Drosophila melanogaster: one gene and its partners. The protein of the gene in region 1 interacts with the protein of each later gene in a pairwise test. Each region holds a gene or a part of one and is shown in the gene's direction. Other genes may lie near its edges. The genes, in order: spab, CG34376 and CG13066.

Region 1 (9,294 bases):
CATGTCAAGTCCGGCCGCATTGTCGGAGGCAAGGGCTCCACCTTCGGCGCCTACCCCTGGCAGGTCCTCGTCCGGGAGTCCACCTGGCTGGGCCTATTCACCAAGAACAAGTGCGGCGGCGTCCTAATCACCAGCCGCTACGTCATCACCGCCGCCCATTGTCAGCCTGGGTAAGCTATTACTCAAACTTATGGTTTTGGTGGGCTTAATTCAGGGATTTCATTTGAATCCTCCGCAGATTCCTGGCCTCTCTGGTGGCTGTTATGGGCGAGTTTGACATTTCCGGCGACCTGGAGAGCAAGCGTTCAGTGACCAAGAATGTCAAGCGCGTCATTGTCCACCGGCAGTACGATCCAGCCACGTTTGAAAACGATCTGGCCCTGCTGGAACTGGACAGTCCAGTGCAATTCGATACCCATATAGGTGAGTTTCATATCATATACATATGTATACTTTAGTAAGGGCTAATCTATTCCTCTTTTCGCCAACAGTGCCCATTTGCATGCCCAATGATGTGGCGGACTTCACTGGACGCATGGCGACAGTGACGGGATGGGGACGCCTTAAGTACGGAGGTGGAGTTCCCTCCGTTCTCCAGGAGGTGCAGGTAAGCACGCAGTGAACAGAGTGTCCTTTAAATTGCGAACTGACCCGGGGCTAATTTAAATTAGGTGCCGATTATCGAGAACAGCGTTTGCCAGGAGATGTTCCACACCGCTGGACACAACAAGAAGATTCTCACCTCCTTCCTGTGCGCCGGCTATGCCAACGGACAAAAGGACTCGTGCGAGGTAAGCTCGGTGAACTCTTTTCTTTTGAAAATGTACCCTAATCCGTCTCACTATCCGACAGGGCGACAGTGGCGGTCCGCTGGTGCTGCAACGACCGGATGGACGCTACGAGTTGGCCGGAACCGTTTCCCACGGCATCAAGTGTGCGGCGCCGTATCTGCCAGGTGTCTATATGCGCACCACCTTCTACAAGCCGTGGCTGCGCAGCATAACGGGCGTGAAATAGGTAGTCGCCTCCACAGTTTTCAAGTTTCTCCCCATCCCAGAGATGGCCAGCGCCAACTAACTGCTGAGGCAGGAGCACCAAGTGTAAATAGAACGTAGAGTTTTAAGAGTCGCGGCTAGAAGCGTGGGAAAGTTGGCTCATCCTTTGCGACGTCGCATCTTCGGACCCCTTCCTCGAACCCCCTCCATGCTACCATCATTTCATTAGCTTAATAGAAAATCAACTGCAGCATTTCAAACGACATTCGCCGGGTATTTCCACATTCCGAGTTAGCGACATTTCGCTTGAGGATGACTGCAGATTTCGTTTTTTTGAGTACGCGTGCCTAACACTTGTAGAGTCTGAATGAGAATTACGCTGATTGCAAAACGTAGGGATAAGACATATTTATTCTAGTTCTAAGCCTATTTATTTGACTATTTATTTATTTATGTGACGTGACGTGAGGAAGCGCGACGATTTGTGCGTTTGATTCAACTAAAAAAATTGTTATCTTCATAGGCAAATTGTTGTTATGTTCAAATGAGAGCGAGAGCAAATGTTTTTAGTTCAATTGAATTTACTAATTTATCGATTTATATTATTAATTCTTTTATCTAAATATGTTAATTGTTAAGTGAACGAACCAATCGAAAAAAAATCGAAATAAACGACATACATTTTAGTAAAAACAAACAAAGGGGTTGCATTTGTAAACTATGATTTCAGAATTTTCTCCAGTAGCTAGCCTTAAAAGTAACTAAAGGTTAAACTTTTATGTATGTATTTTAGCATTGAATGTCAGCTTTACAAAACTCAAAGAGCGGTGGAATTCTTGACATAAACTGAGCTGTAGCCTTGATGCAATTTCCGCCACGCGAGCTTGCTCTCCTTTTTTTGAAAGTTGCCACTTCAGTCAGCCCTAGCTTTTCCCCATTGGGAATATTGTATGTGGTTGCGCCTGGGAGCTTCTGTTTCAGCTTCTCCAGATGTCAATGCTGCTGCTAAATCGACACTAAAGCCACAATCCTTTGGCACCATCTTCATTATTCTATTTAATCACACAGAATTGTTAGCATTTTACCAGCTATTTATTCCATAATTTGTGTCCCTAAATATTATATCATGTGTGAGTAATTCACTGTTAAGAGATAAATCTTTATATTATATGTAGTCCCTGACCAATAACGTATATTTTAAAAACTAAACTGAAAACCAGTCTTTGAGCAATAACTTTTATTCTATTTGAAATAAAATCTAAGTTAACTAAAGATGTTGTTAACATTCAATACAGATCATTCTCATCTCGTGCAGCACTAAACATAATTTACTGGCAAATAAACGTAAATTAATTATACAAAGTACACACAAGTGCAACGCTATTTCCACTCCACGTGGCCAAAATCATTTCCTCATCGAACATTCAGAGCGAAGAGTGAGTGGCATGAGCATACAGCTCTCATTATCCTGATGCACGGAATGTCCTGGAGGGCAGACTCTTTTTATCTCGTTGGGGCAAGCAAATTGCGTGTTTTCCATTTAACAGATTTGCCTGCAGGACAGCCACTCCGAATCAAGGATCCCATTTTGGTAACAAGAGGAGGCTCATTAATTTTGCACCGCTGCCACAAATCACAGTGACGTCATGGCCGAAACTCCCGCAGCCAAAACTCAAAACACACATACACGGGGTATGGTGCGGGCGGAGGGGAGACTCCATTAAAACTGAATCCTAGGAGCTTTGACTGCGCCACAAACACACTTAATTCATAAAAATCCAACTAAAAGCTTCGTAGCCAAAAAGCTCCTTTCCGGCAGCTAGCCGACAGGTGTTGTTTGAGCCATTTCAGACATTCAGTAGCCGACAGGACGCCCAGCCAGCAGGTATGTTGTGCGCCATAAGGACCCCATCCCTCCACCCCGTTCGCGTGCGGCGAAAGTGAAAGTTGACACGTGTATTGGTATAACCAACTCCTTCCTGCCCATGGAATGGCGCAGGACAACTGTGCACCTGCACTTTAAGTGCATCCACGGGCGTGTCGCAGTCAACTACGGCAAATCATGGTCTAATTTCCACCGCGAACCGTTTTTTCGCACTTTAAAGTGGGTCGAGCGTAGGTGGAATTGAGTGGTTGAGTTCAGGCTAAAGCGTAGATATGGAACTGGATATGCCACAAAATGGAATGCCATTACCGGCACAGTGCGTTAGTTAGAGCTAATTCGGCTGGGATTTGATCCCTTTCATTTGATCATTTTTATCTGGTATGGCGTAAAGTGGTGCTTTGTCGAGTTGAATTGCTTTCCACTAAACTTGTTGCTTTTAAATACGATTGCTTAAGCAGGTATAAGAAATGTTGATTTGTCCGTGGAGATCATGCATATAAGTTTTTTTTTAGCACACTTCAGAACCTTGGCAATCCCAAGGTTATTCGCATCTTATATATGTACATCTTGTATACTTAACAAAACTGATGCATTCCCAAGAGAAGACTTTATGATCAGAAACAACGAATCTAGTATTTCTTTGATATCCTTAGTAATACATTTTGCAAATTTTAACTTGTCAGCTATATAATATAGTGGTCCAATTCTGTCCTTTCCGACTTATATTCTGCAATAGAAATGCGACGCATGACAGACATGCCAACTTCATCGCTTCAATATGAATGATTACTTATTCCAACTTTTAATAGTTCCCATGATCTAATAGTTCATACGGACAGACAGACATACAGATGGATATATAAACAATTGTATATTTCATGGCATCTGGTGTACCTTCTGATTATATTCCCTTCTAAGAAATACATTAGCCCTTTCAATAGAATATTTATCGCAATGATCACAGCAAAGGATCTTATTTGTAAGGGCCAAGGTTCGCAGCAAGCATAATTCTCGGAAAAGGTAAAGTTTATGCTCAATTAAGGAACTTTTATCGACTCATCGCCAAAGTGCTTCCAAACTAAAGCCACCTTCCAATCATTGGCAAAGTTTCGGAGAATTTGTAACTATAGAAGAAATACTAATTGCAAAACTTTCCAGTGGCCCAATGCAATTAGAAGTATTTAGCAGCGGATAAAGAAGTCACGTCGCAAGCATGAGCACTTTGGTAAATTAAAGGACGAAAGACACATGGATCAATTTCAATTTCCCTAACGGGTTAAAAAAACAGGACGCCCTTTTTGGGCTGAAACTCAATTAGTCAAGATTTAATAACAGGCTATGGATGACTCCTGTCCTCGGCAACCAAAAGGTCAAAATGCTTGGCAACAAACCCGCGAACTGGGACGACAAGAACTTTGACGAGCCGCGTCCAGTGAAAGTGTGAGAAAGTAATTATAAAAATGCTAAAGGAGAATCATAAAGGGACTCCGCGTTTGTTTAGTCAACCACATTGGCCTGAACCGCCTTCGAAGGCAGGAACATTAATGAAATTGCACTCCCACGCCGGATATTCGTGTGACAGCCGGAAAATATTTTCCCTGGCCTTCGGTGAACCCATTGCCTTTCACCCACTAACTTATTAATGGATGAGTGTTAACAACTGTTGTCAATCGACCGTCCAAAGAAGGTCTAAATCAAGCCAAAAGTATCAAGGTCGTCTGTGCAGCTACAAAGTGCCACCCCAATAAGTAGGCAATTATATATAACAATCTAGCTCGATTCTATTTTAAGGCCAAAATGATGCTATTTCAGTTGAGGGACGAACAGTTACCACTAAGTCGACTTAGTACGCATAACGTAACCCACATTAGAAGTTATTTAAAAGCTGTTTGAGACTGTTCATTCGTTTGCTAGAAGCTTTTGCATAAATTGTTTTAATTACTTTTCCTGGGGGAAGTCATCACGAAACTGAATACAATTAACAACATTTAGCAAATGAAAGGAAAATTCACTTTGAGCTTTCGTGTTCTCCCAGGCAGGCTCAACTTTCACATGTATTATAATTTCCTTTTAAAACTTGCAAATATGAATATTCTTTAAATGTGCATCTTTAATTGAGTTTAATGAAATACTTGAATAAGCTAAGTTTCCATTTCCTTTAATTTTTAACGATTCTTAACTTATACCTTCGGCATACATTAACGATTTTTGCTTATTTGGTTGATGGCTTATTAAGCTAACGTGCAAAAGTAGGCAATATGCTAAAATTGCATAATTTATTGTTACCCACCGACTTTATATGTGAGCCTTTCATCAGGCCATACAAATGGAGACACGAGAGTGAACCAAGTCTGAGAATACATAAATTAAGGCACAGCCGGTAATATAATAACGCTAAAAGCAAGCCGACAATTTTAATGAGCTGCCCGACGGGGATATTTGCCGGGAAAACGTTAATAGAACCGCTGATGCGATTCTGAGCTGGAAGACAGAGATTTATATGCCCCACGCTCCACTCGAGCGCTTGAACACGGAAGTTTGCTCCTCCCGGAGGTCAGCAATCGACTCCTGGGCGGGCATACGTTTTAATTAAGCGTGTACTCGGTTTCCATTTTCACAGTTCATCGGGAGAAGGAGAGCGGGCTTTCCACTAGTGATGATGTACTAACGTGACCACTATGAGCATTTTTCCGAGGTGGGCAGCCATGCTGCTGCTCCTGGGCCTGGCCCACCAGCTGGACCCCTCGCTCGCGGCGTCCGCATCCTCGTTCGCATCCGGAAACGCCTGGCAGCGCGCCCTATTTGGCCGGGAATCGCGCAACTTGATGCACCGCAGAGCCCCGTTTTCCGGAGCCGCTGATCTGGGCCTTGACGAATACCTGGGCCCCTATGGCGCCGTCGAGCAGGAGCAGCACCAGCCGCATCCTCCGCCGCAGCAGGTGAGTGCATGAGTGGAGGTTGTGATTGCAGGTATTTGCAGGACGAAACTACAGGGTATGTGTACAGTAAAACGGGATGATGGGCAATGTCTGCAGCTAGGAAAATGGATTCGTTTATCTAACGAAGTTTTTAAAGGAAGGCTGAAAAGCTATTTCGATTGTAAATTGTCTAAACCAACAGACAGGACAATTTTCAAGATTTAGTTTTATTTCAAGTAATTTTAATTTATTAGAAAAGCATGAAAAAAACTCTTTTACTTTCTGATTTAAAAACAATCTTTTGAGCATACGATTTTAAAATTCAAATGAATGTGTGCTCTTGAAAAATGGCAATCTTTTAATGCATGGAAAAAAGATTCCTGGCTTAAGCAGCTAGAGGCGACTCCCAAACTCAATAAAAATCGCACCACTCGAACACATCTGAAAACGCATACGCCGTGTGGGCGTGCCACAAATATCCGAAGGCGTCTGGCGCCGTGTTTTGCAGCAATTTGAAATTGGAACCCGTATGCTTGTATGGTTTTATTGGCCCACTGGATCAATGGTTTCAATCAACGGAAATTTCAGAGTTCGCGCTGAAACTCAAATTAATTAACGCGCAACGAGTGTCAGCGTTATTGATAGCCAACCAACTGCTGCAGCGCAGTAAGGGGATATACATATAGCGCATACGCACCGTGCGCCCAACAAATGCCACACTAATTGCCACCGCACTCGACCTTCCCCACAGATGCGCCAACAGACCGAAGTTTACGGAATCGTGGAGCCGCTGATTGAGGACACGCCCTGTGCCGACCGACCCTGCCTCCTCAACGACGATTGCTGTCCTTCCGGAGTTTGCGTCAGCACATACGGCGGTAAGTTGGTCTAATTGCACTTGGTCCGCTGTGACCCAACCCACTCACTTACACTTGGAATAGCTAATGCTGACAATAGCTAATGAGACAATACTTGGAATCATCCTAGACAAACAAAATTTTAAATATGGGATTAAAACATTTGAAAGAAAGTGGACACCAGACTGAAACTAGCATTAGGATCTACTTGGCTATTGACCTGGATCAAGAGCCTATTGTACTTTAAGGTGTTGGAAAGGTTTCTTTCTATCTATTGCACTATTTCCTTAAAAATAAGGATAAATTTTTTACATCAACTGATGCTATTCTACAACCCATTACAAAAATGTTATATAAACTCTATCATTTTGCAGAAGGCAAATGCGTATATGTCTTTGGGCGTCAGCGAGATCTGTGCCAGGGACATGCGGACTGTCCGCAGGGCAGCTCCTGCATGCTGGTCCCCCAGGAGGGAGCGTGGCGGTGTGAGCCGAGCGTGGAATCGGGAGGATCCACGTCGCTGCTGGAGGGTATATTCGGAGCGAAGGAGAGGCAACCGCTGGGCAGCGAGTGCAGCAGCAGCAGCGACTGCCAGGTGATCAAGTGAGTCCGCATAGCGCTGATAAGCCCAATTCAGGTCTAACTGTCCCACTTTCCAGCGGAATGTGCTGTCAACAGCAGCGTTTGCACCACCGGGCAGCCATTAAGCTGAGCTGTGGCTACTTTCGCGATGCCTTCGACTGTGTAGATATGGTCGGAGCAGAGGTATGGATATAGTCCAAAAACAAAAATACGAATTTGAGTTATATTATATTCCCGTACAGCATCGACGCAACTGAAGATCGCAGTTCTCGGGTAGCAAAGCTCATTAAACCGAAGGAAAGTAGCCAAACAGCAATTGAATTGGATTGAGTATGAATTACTTCAATATTGAAACATATCAAGTTGTTAAACAAATACATATCAAGGTCAAATTGCTATAGCTTAGAGCATTTGTATTTCTATAATCTGCATATGAATATTTGCTATTACTCAAACGATCTTAGACATCTAGATGTGTTTTTAGTAGAGACTCCAAATATACTGACTGAGGCATTCAATGTTAATAGCAGAAAGAAGAGTATTCCAATGCAGTTTTACCATACTTAAGCAACAATTAAATCGTTTCACGTCTAAATGTAAATCGAATACAATAAAAGCATTACCAAATATCTGCACTTTCACTGAAACTTATTTGGTAACAATATATTCGTATTTGAATGAGAGAAAGGTAAGTTAACGGATTTATTCTTGGGACTAATATATTATTAACTCTTAAAAATATATATATTAAATTGAGTTCAAACAAGTTCAAATTTTAGTAAAACAAAAACACAACTAGACGCACCTATAAACTAGTGACGAATGCACCTGAACAACATAGAAGACTTTTGATGTGGCGAAAGCACCAAGTCTTATGACCCAAAATAAACTTACATAATAAATTTTATGTTCTTGCCCAAGCAAACTTAATGAATTAATAGTTGAAAATACACCAGAAGATAGTGAATAAAAACCGCAGAAAATTCTTTACAAATATTTTCGGTTGATTTTATTTTTGTAATTTTATTTAAAGTGCCATTAAAAACGCAGCTTAAAGCTAAAAGTTAGACTCTGTTTACACTTTCAACGCTTTTGTTTTTAACATTACACCCAAGTAAATCATTCCTCCTTTCGTTCTTCAACTCTCTGACATTCTATATATCTCTCATGATCCAATCCATTCACGAATAATACACATTGCAAATGCTTTCGTCCCTAACTTTATGGCTGAGACACTTACTTCGCTTACTTGAGCCTAACATAAACCGCACAAGGTGCATCGTTTTAGTTCTTGAATTCTTGTAAATTTCGAACCAAAAGTGTGGTTTGCCAGCAAAATAGGATTTATTTTTAAAATTAATTTTTATATGTTTTTTGCGCATGTTCAAGTCTTTTGTTGATTTTATGTTCTTCGGTTTAAATTGAATCTTAAACTCAGTTTTTTTTTTAAGTTGTTTTTGGTTTGGATCAGGGACTAAGGTCGTGGGCTTTAGGAAGTGCCCCACTTCGGAGGTTGTATTGGGGGTTAGTCTTAAGAACAACTTTCGGCTTAAACTTAGCTTGGAACAGTCAAACAAATATCAAGTCCGCTATCCTTCGAAACTTGTCTCTCATTTTTTGTTTGACTCGCATGCACTGAATGCACAGATTATTTACAGATTTTACAATTACAGGAATAGTTTCAAAACCTAAATATACGTACGCGAATAGAGCTATAAATTTAGTTTAGATTTGTTTTCCAAAGAAATCGATTGTGTTCGTACAGGATGTGATTAACTTCAGTAAAGCTTAAATTAAATTAAAATAGGAAAGTAAATTTCGCAGACCGAAAAAATAACAATATGAAGGTACTATTTAATCATAACCCTAATTACAATCTTTCTCTTACTCTTAGCTTACATCGAAATGAATAAAATGTTAATTAATGTTTACTTTAATCTCTCAGCTGGCGTGTATTGATGGTCAAAGGAAACATGGGTTGTATTGAAACTACTATTGCATTCTGGTAATGGACTGTGTTTTCACATGTATACATTGATAATGGACTCATTTAGCTT
Region 2 (6,873 bases), on another chromosome or scaffold:
TGGCCAGCACACCAATTAGTTGCCCTCGATCCAGGATGTTCCGGATAAGTAGAGTATTGCCCTCGACCAGGAAGGCCAAAATAAAGAGAATAAACGCTTTGCGCACTGTATCCTCGCATTGGTATTCACTTTTTTCATGGGACAGCAATTTCTGCGTCACAGTCACGTTGGAAAGCACATCATACGAATTCAGAACTTGGCGGGCCAATTGAGGCTCCACGCACACAATAGCGGTGAGCAGTTTTAGGGCATTACGCCGATGGCCTAGCTGCATTGATTTCATTTGATTTTCGAGCACTCCTCCGTGAACCTTGAGAAAATATCTACACCCGTGGACAGCCGACTCCATGTGGCTCTTCTGGTTGGTAAGTATTTCCATCAAAACTCGGTGCAAAGCCTCTGTGAGGTAGTCCACGTGAAATAAATTAGTCTTATCGATCCTTTCGAATGCTTCTGCTAACTCCAAGGGCTTTCCACGCTTTTCTATGTACTTAGCCGCAAGCTTAGGACGCGTGGTTGAGCACATGTGCAGGAAGTGTCGCAGTTCTGGAATTGGGATTCGTGAGTTAGCGATCTTTTATTGAACGTATTAACCCACCTGTTATGAAGTTATTGCCGCGAAGCTTGGTTCGAAAGTGCATCATCTTAAAGTCGTTGGGAAAGTGTATGCGGGATTCTTCGGGATCAATCCCGGAATCGCGACTTATTTCATCCTCAGCCATCTCCACTTCCACCTGTTGTTCTACACTTGTGTCGGATGTCTTTGTCTTTTTAGACTTCTTCTTTGATGGAGTGGAGTCAGCAGGATCGGTTTCAGTGCTTTCCAGCGTGGATTCATCGAATGATTCCTTAGTTTTATCCTTCTTTTTCTTTTTCTTCGGTGTGTCGGACTCCTTGGCCAGTTTTTTGGGCACCTCCACTTCACCTTCATCCTCTTGCTCAGCAGTTGTCTCCTCGTGCCTTCTCTTTCTTCGATTGGGTTGAATGGCCATTTTGCTTTAATAATAATATTATAAATTATATTTGCCTATTTACAGCATAAATCGTTTAAAATTTAAGTTAAACACAAAAACAGCCGCACACACGTGCTGGCAGAGAATGGTATGACCCTTTTTAAAATACCGAAAAATACCGCCCTTGTTTCAGTGTTGTATAGGGCGACACTTGGCGCGCTAAAATATAAACTGGCGAAACAGGAAAAAAAACAGAACAGCAACTTATTCAAAGAGATTAAAGTTATGATTTAATTTACCAACAATTTTATACTCTCCAACAATAAACAACGTATTTTACTACAATACTAACTACAAAGGGTGCACAACTTTGAAAAAACCACATCTCGGCACGGAATGACTCATAATCCAATCTGCCATTTGGCAAATTTACAGTTTTCCCTGGACGTGAACGTTTTTTCTGTTCCTTTAACCACGTCTAGTCATCCTCGAGGGCCGCATTGGTGGCTCCTCCAGATCCATATCCAGATCCTGCAGGAGCCGTGCTAGTCACCGATCCAGAAATCGGGAATTCTGGCAGAGTGGAGCGTTGTTTGGCTGGAGCCGGCGGAACCGCGGGCAAATCGACTGATTTACTTTTGCCTGCAAGTACACAACTATTATTAGTCGCTGTTATTGCCTTCTGAAGATAGCTGCAAATCACTTACCAAAACAACAACCCATTATGGTATACTCTTTACTGATTCTCGGGACGAGTGGGCTAATTTGCTGAAAGTTCTTTGAGCACTAAATCGGGCAAATCAAATCGGTGGCCAATTGACTGGGTGCGTATGTGTGCACCTGAGGCGTACAAACGACTCATGGCTAATTGATAAGCCCTGCTGTTACTTTTATTCTCTTTTTGTTTAAAATGTAAAGTGGGTTATTTATGACACCATGGGTAGGTCTGCTATCAACAGTGTAGTTCCCCATCGGCCGTATTAGCATCGTGCAAAGAACCGTAGAACTGTGATAAAAGCGGACAATGCCGGTCGGATATAACCGCAACGAAGCGACCAACAAACCAATTGCGATAAGCTCTTATCAGGGGAAAACGTTTTCAATGCTCTCTAATTGGCGCTAAATATTCAATTGTCGTTATGATATCGTTTATCGAAAAGGCTATCGATTGAAAATTCCGCTCTTGTGGGCCAGATTTCAAAAACGCTTAGAAGCATTTGACAATTCAAGCAATTTACGTAGTAATTGCGAACATTTTTAACAAATTAGTAGTTAACATACATTTTACAAAAATATATATTTGCAGGATTTATAATCTCTTTAGAATTATTATTTCTGTATAAAATCCCAGAATTTCATTCCTCTCTAACGTTTTTCTTTGTGATAACAGTTTTGATTGTTAATCAAATTTTTATAGCTGGAATTAAAGTTCAGCAAACATTTTCGTTTGTTTACCAGTGGCCAGTGAGACCGTTCGCTGTGGCGCCTAAAAAACCAACATTTCACTGTTCCTCAAAGTGCGGGGGGGTGGTGCGTTCATTATCAGCCGGAACGTAAACAGCGTCGCTGCTTTTCACGCTTTCCGATAAAAATGTTTAAATCACACTGTGTTAATTAGAGCCCAAATCAAAATCAATGCGCCCGTGGACGCGAACGACTCGAGATCGTGTGCGCGTGAATGCGGATCGAGTAGTTGGTAGCTAGTTTATCAAATTCGAACCCTTGATATAATAAAAATAAAGGTGCGCGAGAATACGTGAATTGCGATTTTTGGCCCGTGAACGAATCACGAGCAAAGCGGATAAACAAAAGCCATAAAAAACAGATTCGCACGAGAATCATCGCAAAAGTCTGTGCGCATAAATTACGCTCCCCAATTGGAATTGGAAAAGTCTGGTTTTCGGCGAGCATCCGCATCCGCGATGGACGACGAGTTTAAGCTGTGCTGGAAGAACTTCCAGGACAACATAGCCAGCGGCTTCCAGAATTTGTACGACCGCGGCGACCTGGTGGACGTGACCCTCGCCTGCGATGGAAAGCTCCTCCATGCCCACAAGATAGTGCTGGCTATCTGCAGCCCCTACTTCCAGGAGATATTCACTACCAATCCCTGCAAGCATCCCATCAGTGAGTACACCGATTAGGCAGCACAAGATTGCGGCCCCATCGCCGGCGTCCCCGGTTTAAATGCTAAGTTATGCAGCGTGGCTTACATTGTCAGCGCGGCATTTATATGTGTATTTTGATACTGGGCACGGAAGTGGTCTTCCAGAAATTGGTCAAGTTTAATGTTCCGAGCTTTCGTTGCCATGCATATGGATGATCCTAATGGAACATTGAGTGCGTAACTGAAGGATTCGGGTTTCTTACAAATTGCTTGGCTCTTGGCATTGCAAATACATTGTAGACATATTTTCTTGGAATTTTAATAAGCCGGAAAAGAGTCTGACTATTCGCTGGGCTATTTCATACCCTTCACATACATACATAGTCTGTATAATGCCAGGGAAGAGTGACTGCTGGTTACTTGGTCAAGCATATTCCCCCAGAAATCGGTCAGTTTATCACTGGGACAGCGGTGTCAGTTTATCGAGGAGCCCGCCCGTCAGCCTGTCTGTTCATCACTCTTGTCAAACGCTTAGATATAAATCAACCTTTGTGTTAAATTCCATGACACATTCGGTGGTTATCAGCCCAGCTCCACCGCCAGTTCGATTCCGAGTTCCAGACGAGCGTCCCAGCACGACTACGTCTGTCTTTACAGTATCGCTACCATAAATCCAACTATACCCGCCCTATTAACTTTACACTTTATTTCATAAGCCTAACTTGCCTTTTTTTTAGCATACAAAGTAATCAATCGAATAATATTGTTAGTCGTTTGATGGATCGCCCATTAAAATTAAGTAGTGCAGCGATATTAGGAAGATTATAAATCGTTTATGCAAATGCATTAAGGTTTATCCAGCCTACAGTTATCTAAAGACTTTGTAATGAACTGTAATCATTTGATAACCGATTTGATTTACTAATCCAATTCAGGGTAATATAATCCAATTCGTAATATCTGTCCGTTTCTGATTCATGTTCCAGTTAGTGAAGTTTGACTGTAGAGTCGTAAATCTAAAGACAAACAGCAGCAACCCACTAAGAATCGAGGTCTGGTGATAATCCTCCGGTGAGCCGGAGTGCCGCCGCGTTGTCTATGCCTGTGTGGTAGCTGCCGGAGTCCTCCGCCTCCGGAGGCACACCGGGATTGTTTACCCACGCCACGCACGGAGTATCCACCGGCGGAGGGAGTATCGTGATAAGGTCCATGGCAAGAGAGCGCAGAGTCGGAGCCGCAGCCCACTTCGATCGGATCGGGGAGATTGGGTGCGTTGCTGACCTCATCAAATGTACTTCAAATGGACTCTAGAACGGTGGTGTACTACTATTTATGTACGCTATATGGTGTATGGATATGATATCGCCGCGGCCCCTCCTGGTCGGTACGATTCCGATTTCGTTCGCAGTCGTGTTGAACACGGCTGCCTGCTGCACGGTGGCTTTATCTGATCAGGCGGCCATAAAAAATAAGGTTTTATCTTTTCAAGTAGCTGCAGGAAGGTGCTACCTACCCACAAACGCTGCTACAAGAGGTATTTCCAAAGATAAAGAATATTAATATACCCTATAAATAACGGCGAACCCAAGCGGGGGCAAGCTATTAAATGTAGACCAGCCCAGCCAACAACAGTCATCGAGGTGCTAACAAGCCAAATGGCTATGTGTTTGTTCCGTGTGTAACACGCAGAAACAACAACAATAGTCGAAATATTTTTTATCTTTTTATCGCGTTTAACAATCATTTATTGCCCAACTGAGTAACTGAGTGCCCGCCCGCCCACTCCTTCACCCTTACAGCCACTCGAAGAATTTAGTTTAGTCGAGATATTGATTAGAGAGCCTCGCAACATATATACGTGTTTCCGCTGCTCCGGACGTGTAAATCAATCCACACTGTGCCGTTCCAAGTGGTTATATCTGGCCAACAGTCACAGTCCCCAATACAATGCTAATCCTCCAAAATTATCTATTTATTATTGGCATAAACAAGACGGACATAGCTCAAAGAAGCTGGGGTCGGAAAAATCGAATTTTTGAAATTTGAAAGCTGGAATCGTTTGCCCATTTTTTGCCCATGTTTGCCCACCAATTAGTTTTTTTTGCCCACGTCCAGTTTTTGAGATATGAATTTTCGAAAAAGTTCGAAAATTTTCGAAAATCAAAAATTTCGCTTTTTTCAAAATTTTTTTTTTTTAAATCGCAATAACATCGTTTGCCCACGTTTGCCCACCCTTTAGAATTTTGAAAAAATGTATACTTTAGAAAATATAAGGCTTTTAAGTTTACCTCGGTCTAATCAGAGAGTAAATCGTTTGCCCATCTCTTAAAACCAAATATTATCAACAAAAAACGTTTGCCCAACAATTATTATTAGTTTTTATCGTTTGCCCACCCTTTAAAAAACCTTTAACAAAAATTTTTTTTCGATTGCCCACATTTAAAATACAACCAATTTCCTTAGCCAACCTCTTTAAAATAAAAATTTCCAATAAAAAAAGTTTGCCCACCATTTAAAACTAAATAATTTCGATTGCCCACCTTTTAAAACTAAATAATTTCGTTTGCCCATCCTTTAAAATTCATTTTTAACGTTTGCCCACCCTTTAAAAATAAATTATTTCGTTTGCCCACCCTTTAAAATTTGTTTTTTTCGTTTGCCCACCTCTTAAAAATGGTTTTTTCGATTTTTCACCTATTAAAAATAAATTTGTACATATGTATGTAATAATTGTAAGATGTGGCGTCAAAAGCACAGTTACTTACAAAAGAACAGTTATTTACATATTTACATACATTTTCAATATATCCATAGTGTTAATCATTCATGAATTGTAACATCAATTTTTCTTAATCATTGTTTCATTTCATGGAAAATATTTTATATTGCAATATAATATATATGCAAAAAAATGTATGTATGTTTATCAACACTCTCCAAGCTCAAGAAAATTCTGGAATAAAATATTTTCGAAATTATTTAGTTTTAAGAGTGGGCAAACGAAAAAAACAAATTTTAAAGGGTGGGCAAACGAAATAATTTATTTTTAAAGGGTGGGCAAACGTTAAAAATGAATTTTAAAGGATGGGCAAACGAAATTATTTAGTTTTAAAAGGTGGGCAATCGAAATTATTTAGTTTTAAGAGTGGGCAAACGAAAAAAACAAATTTTAAAGGGTGGGCAAACGAAATAATTTATTTTTAAAGGGTGGGCAAACGTTAAAAATGAATTTTAAAGGATGGGCAAACGAAATTATTTAGTTTTAAAAGGTGGGCAATCGAAATTATTTAGTTTTAAGAGTGGGCAAACGAAAAAAACAAATTTTAAAGGGTGGGCAAACGAAATAATTTATTTTTAAAGGGTGGGCAAACGTTAAAAATGAATTTTAAAGGATGGGCAAACGAAATTATTTAGTTTTAAAAGGTGGGCAATCGAAATTATTTAGTTTTAAGAGTGGGCAAACGAAAAAAACAAATTTTAAAGGGTGGGCAAACGAAATAATTTATTTTTAAAGGGTGGGCAAACGTTAAAAATGAATTTTAAAGGATGGGCAAACGAAATTATTTAGTTTTAAAAGGTGGGCAATCGAAATTATTTAGTTTTAAGAGTGGGCAAACGAAAAAAACAAATTTTAAAGGGTGGGCAAACGAAATAATTTATTTTTAAAGGGTGGGCAAACGTTAAAAATGAATTTTAAAGGATGGGCAAACGAAATTATTTAGTTTTAAAAGGTGGGCAATCGAAATTATTTAGTTTTAAGAGTGGGCAAACGAAAAAAACAAATTTTAAAGGGTGGGCAAACGAAATAATTTA
Region 3 (4,849 bases), on another chromosome or scaffold:
TGGCAGCCACGCAGCTGGGTAGAACAAAGGATAGCTCGGCGGCGGTGCAGAGCCCACAAGTGGTGGTGGCCCCAGTGGTGGTGGGGGAACAGCAGCTCCAGCTGCCTGGCGGGGCGGTGGTGGAGCAGCCCGATGGGCAGGCGGCACATCGATCTCCTCGGCAGCATCCTGGATCTGACCCGCGGCCGCCAGGTGGATCAGAAGGAGGAGCACCACCTGAAATGGCCACCGATGGCGAGGCCTCATCATCTTTGAGCAAGTGCATCGACTTCTCGGCGGATAACCGCTTGAGACTTACTAATTTCCTGTACATAGCTAATCCGAGCTGATAAGATCTGATAGCTCAACGTTCTGAAAACGAAATAAACATGACTGGAGCGACAGAACCCAGCTTTATAAATTTCTGAACCCAACCCGGCAGTTTTTGTGGGTCATTTCCAGACTTGCCGATGGATGGATCAATATCCAGCTACGTTTTAGTATGCAAAACACGGACTCACATTCGATTTGTTTTTCGCTTTTCGTCACGCTTTTAAAAATACCAAACGAAACCAAAAGTGCAAAGCCATAATGCTCAAGATTCTCCTTGGCTGGCTTCAAAATGGACTTGGAACCGATCTGGGAATGGATGTGCATACCAATGGCCACGCATCACCTTCGCTTCAATGTGGGGAATTGGAATGGAATTTTCTCGACCGATTCTGCTATATATACCCGAGTACTCGGGCACTAGGAGATATCAGTCTAGTACTTGAGAACCAACAGTTCACAACCAACCCAAACAGCCAACATGTTCAAATACGTAAGGATCGCAGGATAGCTGGACTTGCCACCAAACAACGGATTACTCATAAGCACTTTTCCTATCCTTTCAGTTCGCTCTGTGCCTGTTCGCCATCGTGGCCTGCGTCTCTGCCAAGCCGGCGGTGCTCGCTTCTCCTCTGGCCTACAGCGCCTACTCCGCTCCCTATGTGGCAGCTGCTCCTTACTCGGCTGCCTACACCGCGGCATACACCGCTCCAGTGGCCGCCGCCTACTCCGCCTACACGTACCCCTATGCGTCCGCCTACTCCGCCTACCCCTATGCCGCCTACTACCGTTAAGACTGGATGAATGGATCGTGATCTTAACCTGACTGCTGAACTGGACCTGAATATAAACATATACACATCTATTGCAACAAGGATACACACCTTCCTGCTAACCACCTGCAACATCCAATCTTCTTACATCCCTGGTGTTAGTTCGACAGACTCTACATTTCCCCACCTCTGCCGACTGCTGAAAGTTAAGTCATGGGAACAGGACATACCACTTCAAGAAAGGGAATATTTTTGTTGAAATAAATACTGCATTTTGCGTAAAACGTATACCACTTGTTCATAATTTATTGCATCACTTATTCATCTCTAATGTGAAGGGAGTATGTATAATCACATACTTTTAGGCAGTACTCTTTTGCAATGGGTACTAAGTACTAAATTTGGTATACATTAAAATCCAATGGAAATATTATTTATAAAGTAGGTGATATCATATTTTCAGTAAATATTTCTCACACTAGTTTCATAAATTGCTAGCCCCTACATTTTTTAATTTTGGTGGGCTGGAAGGAATCAATGACTTTTTTAAGCTTTGTATCAATAAATTGCTTTGATACATTGGAAATTATTTTTTGGACTTAAAACCTATTATTTGTTAAAAAAAAAGGAAGTGTAAAGGAGGTTGTGTTCTTCGTGGTGGAATGTCCATGTTTGCATTGGATTAATAGGGTCAACGAGACCTCCGGTTTATTGAACTCGCGATTCCATTTATGCAAAGCTTTCGATTCCCTGTTTCTGGTGTCCTCAACCTTAAGCCAAGGGCTCAACTCGATGACGTCCTTCGAAACTGGATAAACCGCTTCTATTTTTACTTGCATCTCTGATTAGAATGCAAAGTGGCGTGTTCGAGTGGCTGACAATTGAAACGTACAGAGTGAGCCGAACTCCGGAGATGGCCAAGACGGTTGGAATGACACGCACGTTCACAGCCCACAAAACGCACTGAGTGCTAAATTATGATAATTCAATCGGCAAACGACAGCTGCTGACGCCAGTTGCGGAAATGCTCAAGATGAGCGGGAAAAAACATTCATTTTCAATAATAAATTCACAAGGAATGCGTACTATTCGCAGGCATATCGACAAACACAAATCTGCAACATTATAATTGTGCCAGTAAAAAGAGACCAAATGTTTGGCCCTGTTTTAGCCCTGGTACGTGATGGAAATGCTTTAAACTTGCTGGGTTTTTGCTTTTTCAATGGGCTTTGTCAAGGATGCTATGTATATTTACCTATATAAACCACTTCGAACTCAGCACAAGACATCAATCAGAAGTCTAACTTCGACGCTAACACAACCAAATCAATTAAAATGATGAAATTCGTAAGTTTCCAACATTTTTTTAAGGATACAATGTTTCAAAAATGCAACAATTCACAATCCTAAATACAAACAAAAACGCGTGTGTTCGAAATAAAACTATTATCAAACAGTGTAGATTTTTCAAACAATTTTTTATATTTATAAAACTTCTTGTAAATGTGTATTTTAATGTACTTTTTGTATGCATTTTATCCTGCAGTTTGCCGTTGTCCTGTGCGCCCTGTTCGCCGCCGCTGCTGCCAATCCTGGTCTGCTGGCCTACAATGCCCCTCTGGCCTACTCCACTCCACTGGCGTACAGCTCCCTGCCCGCTGCCGCACCCCTCGCCTACACCGCCGCCTACACCCCTGCCTACGCCCCCTACGTGGCCCCCTATGCCAGTAGCTACAGTGCCCACAGTGTGGCCCACAGCGCCGCCCTGCCAGCCGTTTATGCCGCCGCCCCTGTGGCCACCATCCTCAAGAAGTAAGATGTCCCAGGATGGCAAAGGGATTCCGCAAGGCTGCCGCACGTGTCCACCGGACGTCGTCACTGCCACGGCGAAAGATACAGATACAAACAGAGATGGAGATACATGCTCGCAGGCAAACAGAAATTAAAACGCAATGCATCAGGCCCACGCACTGACCGACTGAGAAGTGAATCGAGTTTTATTCCTTCCGTTTAATTTTAATCTTGCCGTGGGCATCGGGACTTTTCTTCAAAGGAAACAGATAGTGCAGGTTGCTCTTGGGAAGCGCCGTCTTATTGCAATAGATACCTGGATGGGAAGTATATATATATAGCTTTAGTTTGTGGTATTACATAGAATTATAAGTTCAAGATAAGGGATTTCATTTGAATTATTAACGAGTGCTGCAAGCTTTAATTTTTAACATTTGCAATGGTCACCAGAGCACTTTAAACTATTATATGATGAGAAGAATGAATTCGTTTAAGGTTAAATCAGGCCACCATTTTCATTAGACAGCTCCCATATGACAGAGTGCCCTCCAAGGGTGTGCCCAACTCTGGCCTGTTTGTGCGCCCACTTTGGTTCATCGACACTTCGCCACGTTCCAGGACGCAATCCTTGAGCTTTGTTTACGCAGTTCGCACCCCCTTAGCCCTGATACCCCCCTGACCCTTCGAGGTCTATGTGGCCAGCTCGCGGCACATTGTTTATCACTTTGATTGCAAGTTGCGTGTGTGTTGGCTTAGAGGTCAATGCATTTCCATCGCCACTGCGAATATGGTACTACATTGAGGGGCGCCGCTTAAATTGCATTTTGCTAATCACCCGCCATCGATAAGTTGAACGAAGCCACGCCTCAAACGAACCCACCACGCCAACTCTGGCATTAATCATACGCCGCGTGCAACCGTCGAAAAGTATGAAAATCAAATCAAGCGAACGACATTTAACTAAGAAACAACATTTTGCAAATTAATTCAAGTCTTTGAGTTGCTGATTCTCAATTCTCCTCGATGCTTTCAACGCTTTTTATAGCCCTGTAAAAGCTGAAAAACGCCTCATTCTGCACGTGCAGTTGCACTTCTTGCAGCTAATTTACTTGTTTTGTGGCTGTAGTCGGAAAATTAAATTAAAATTTAACGCTGCCTTTTGTCTCGATGGTCACGCCCCATTAATCAGCTGCCCCCTCGCGAAACATGCGGCGATTTATAATTGCCGAAGCCCCAGAAGTTGCACTTAAACGTTCCGTTTCCCAGGCTTTACTGGAGTGGGTACTCTATGAAAGAGTTTGGGGGTGGGGTGTGTAAGCTTAAATTAACATAAGTTAAATATTGTCAAATAGTCTAATTTAATGCTTAAATGTTGTACTTTAGGTAAGTGTGTTTATAAAATTAGTTTCAAATGCTCTCTTGTCGTAGTATTCAGTTAAGGTAAGTCTATACCGTGTCTGAATTGAGGATATCAAAATATTTGTTTTCTAACTTTATAAGTAAGTATAAATATATATGGTTTTTGGATGCAACTCAGTTCTTAATGTATAGCTGTATCGTATCTCTATGTAATCTAGCTAATACTGGACGCTCTTTTCAAATTGAATATGATATCCAACCTACCTCCAATTAGCAGTACGCGTATTAACTTGGCCAACAAGGGGACTTCTAGGCCCATGTGCTATAATTACCCCCCGCTGTTCGGTGACTGCTTAGGCGATTACAACAATCTTGTCTAATTGACAGTTGTACACTGTCATTCGAGAGCATTGGAACGATAATGGGGGGGCTGCGTCGATTAGAACTTGCTGCGATCAATTTGCGGAGACATCAATAAGAAGCCAAACCCGATTTAAAGGCGCTCGCATTTCAGCCGTGCTGCCCAATAAATTGCGTTTTGATTTAATCGCCGTGTTGCACAAGTGCCACAAAATTAATTGCCAGCAATTTTTCGCACCGTGTAGATAGCAGCGCGG

What was found.
Region 2: the proteins of spab (region 1) and CG34376 interact in a two-hybrid assay, tested with the Drosophila melanogaster proteins (one large-scale study listed by BioGRID).
Region 3: the proteins of spab (region 1) and CG13066 interact in a two-hybrid assay, tested with the Drosophila melanogaster proteins (one large-scale study listed by BioGRID).

What each region holds. Positions count from the first base shown.
Region 1 is NT_033778.4:8,961,741-8,971,034, reverse strand, and holds spab (space blanket), read left to right. Parts: upstream 1-2,850; 5' UTR 2,851-2,880; intron 2,881-5,500; 5' UTR 5,501-5,558; coding exon 5,559-5,819; intron 5,820-6,549; coding exon 6,550-6,676; intron 6,677-7,029; coding exon 7,030-7,258; intron 7,259-7,314; coding exon 7,315-7,420; intron 7,421-7,479; coding exon 7,480-7,494; 3' UTR 7,495-7,871; downstream 7,872-9,294. Other genes in the region: flz (filzig), read left to right, coding at 1-170, 239-423, 492-607, 672-791, 853-1,017.
Region 2 is NT_033777.3:22,445,541-22,452,413, forward strand, and holds the start of CG34376 (uncharacterized protein), read left to right. Parts: upstream 1-2,558; 5' UTR 2,559-2,875; coding exon 2,876-3,080; intron 3,081-6,873. Other genes in the region: CG12499 (uncharacterized protein), read right to left, coding at 1-546, 599-992; CG34288 (uncharacterized protein), read right to left, coding at 1,432-1,595, 1,661-1,676.
Region 3 is NT_037436.4:16,270,550-16,275,398, forward strand, and holds CG13066 (uncharacterized protein), read left to right. Parts: upstream 1-2,359; 5' UTR 2,360-2,417; coding exon 2,418-2,429; intron 2,430-2,628; coding exon 2,629-2,898; 3' UTR 2,899-3,059; downstream 3,060-4,849. Other genes in the region: CG34248 (uncharacterized protein), read right to left, coding at 1-249; CG13067 (uncharacterized protein), read left to right, coding at 791-802, 876-1,103.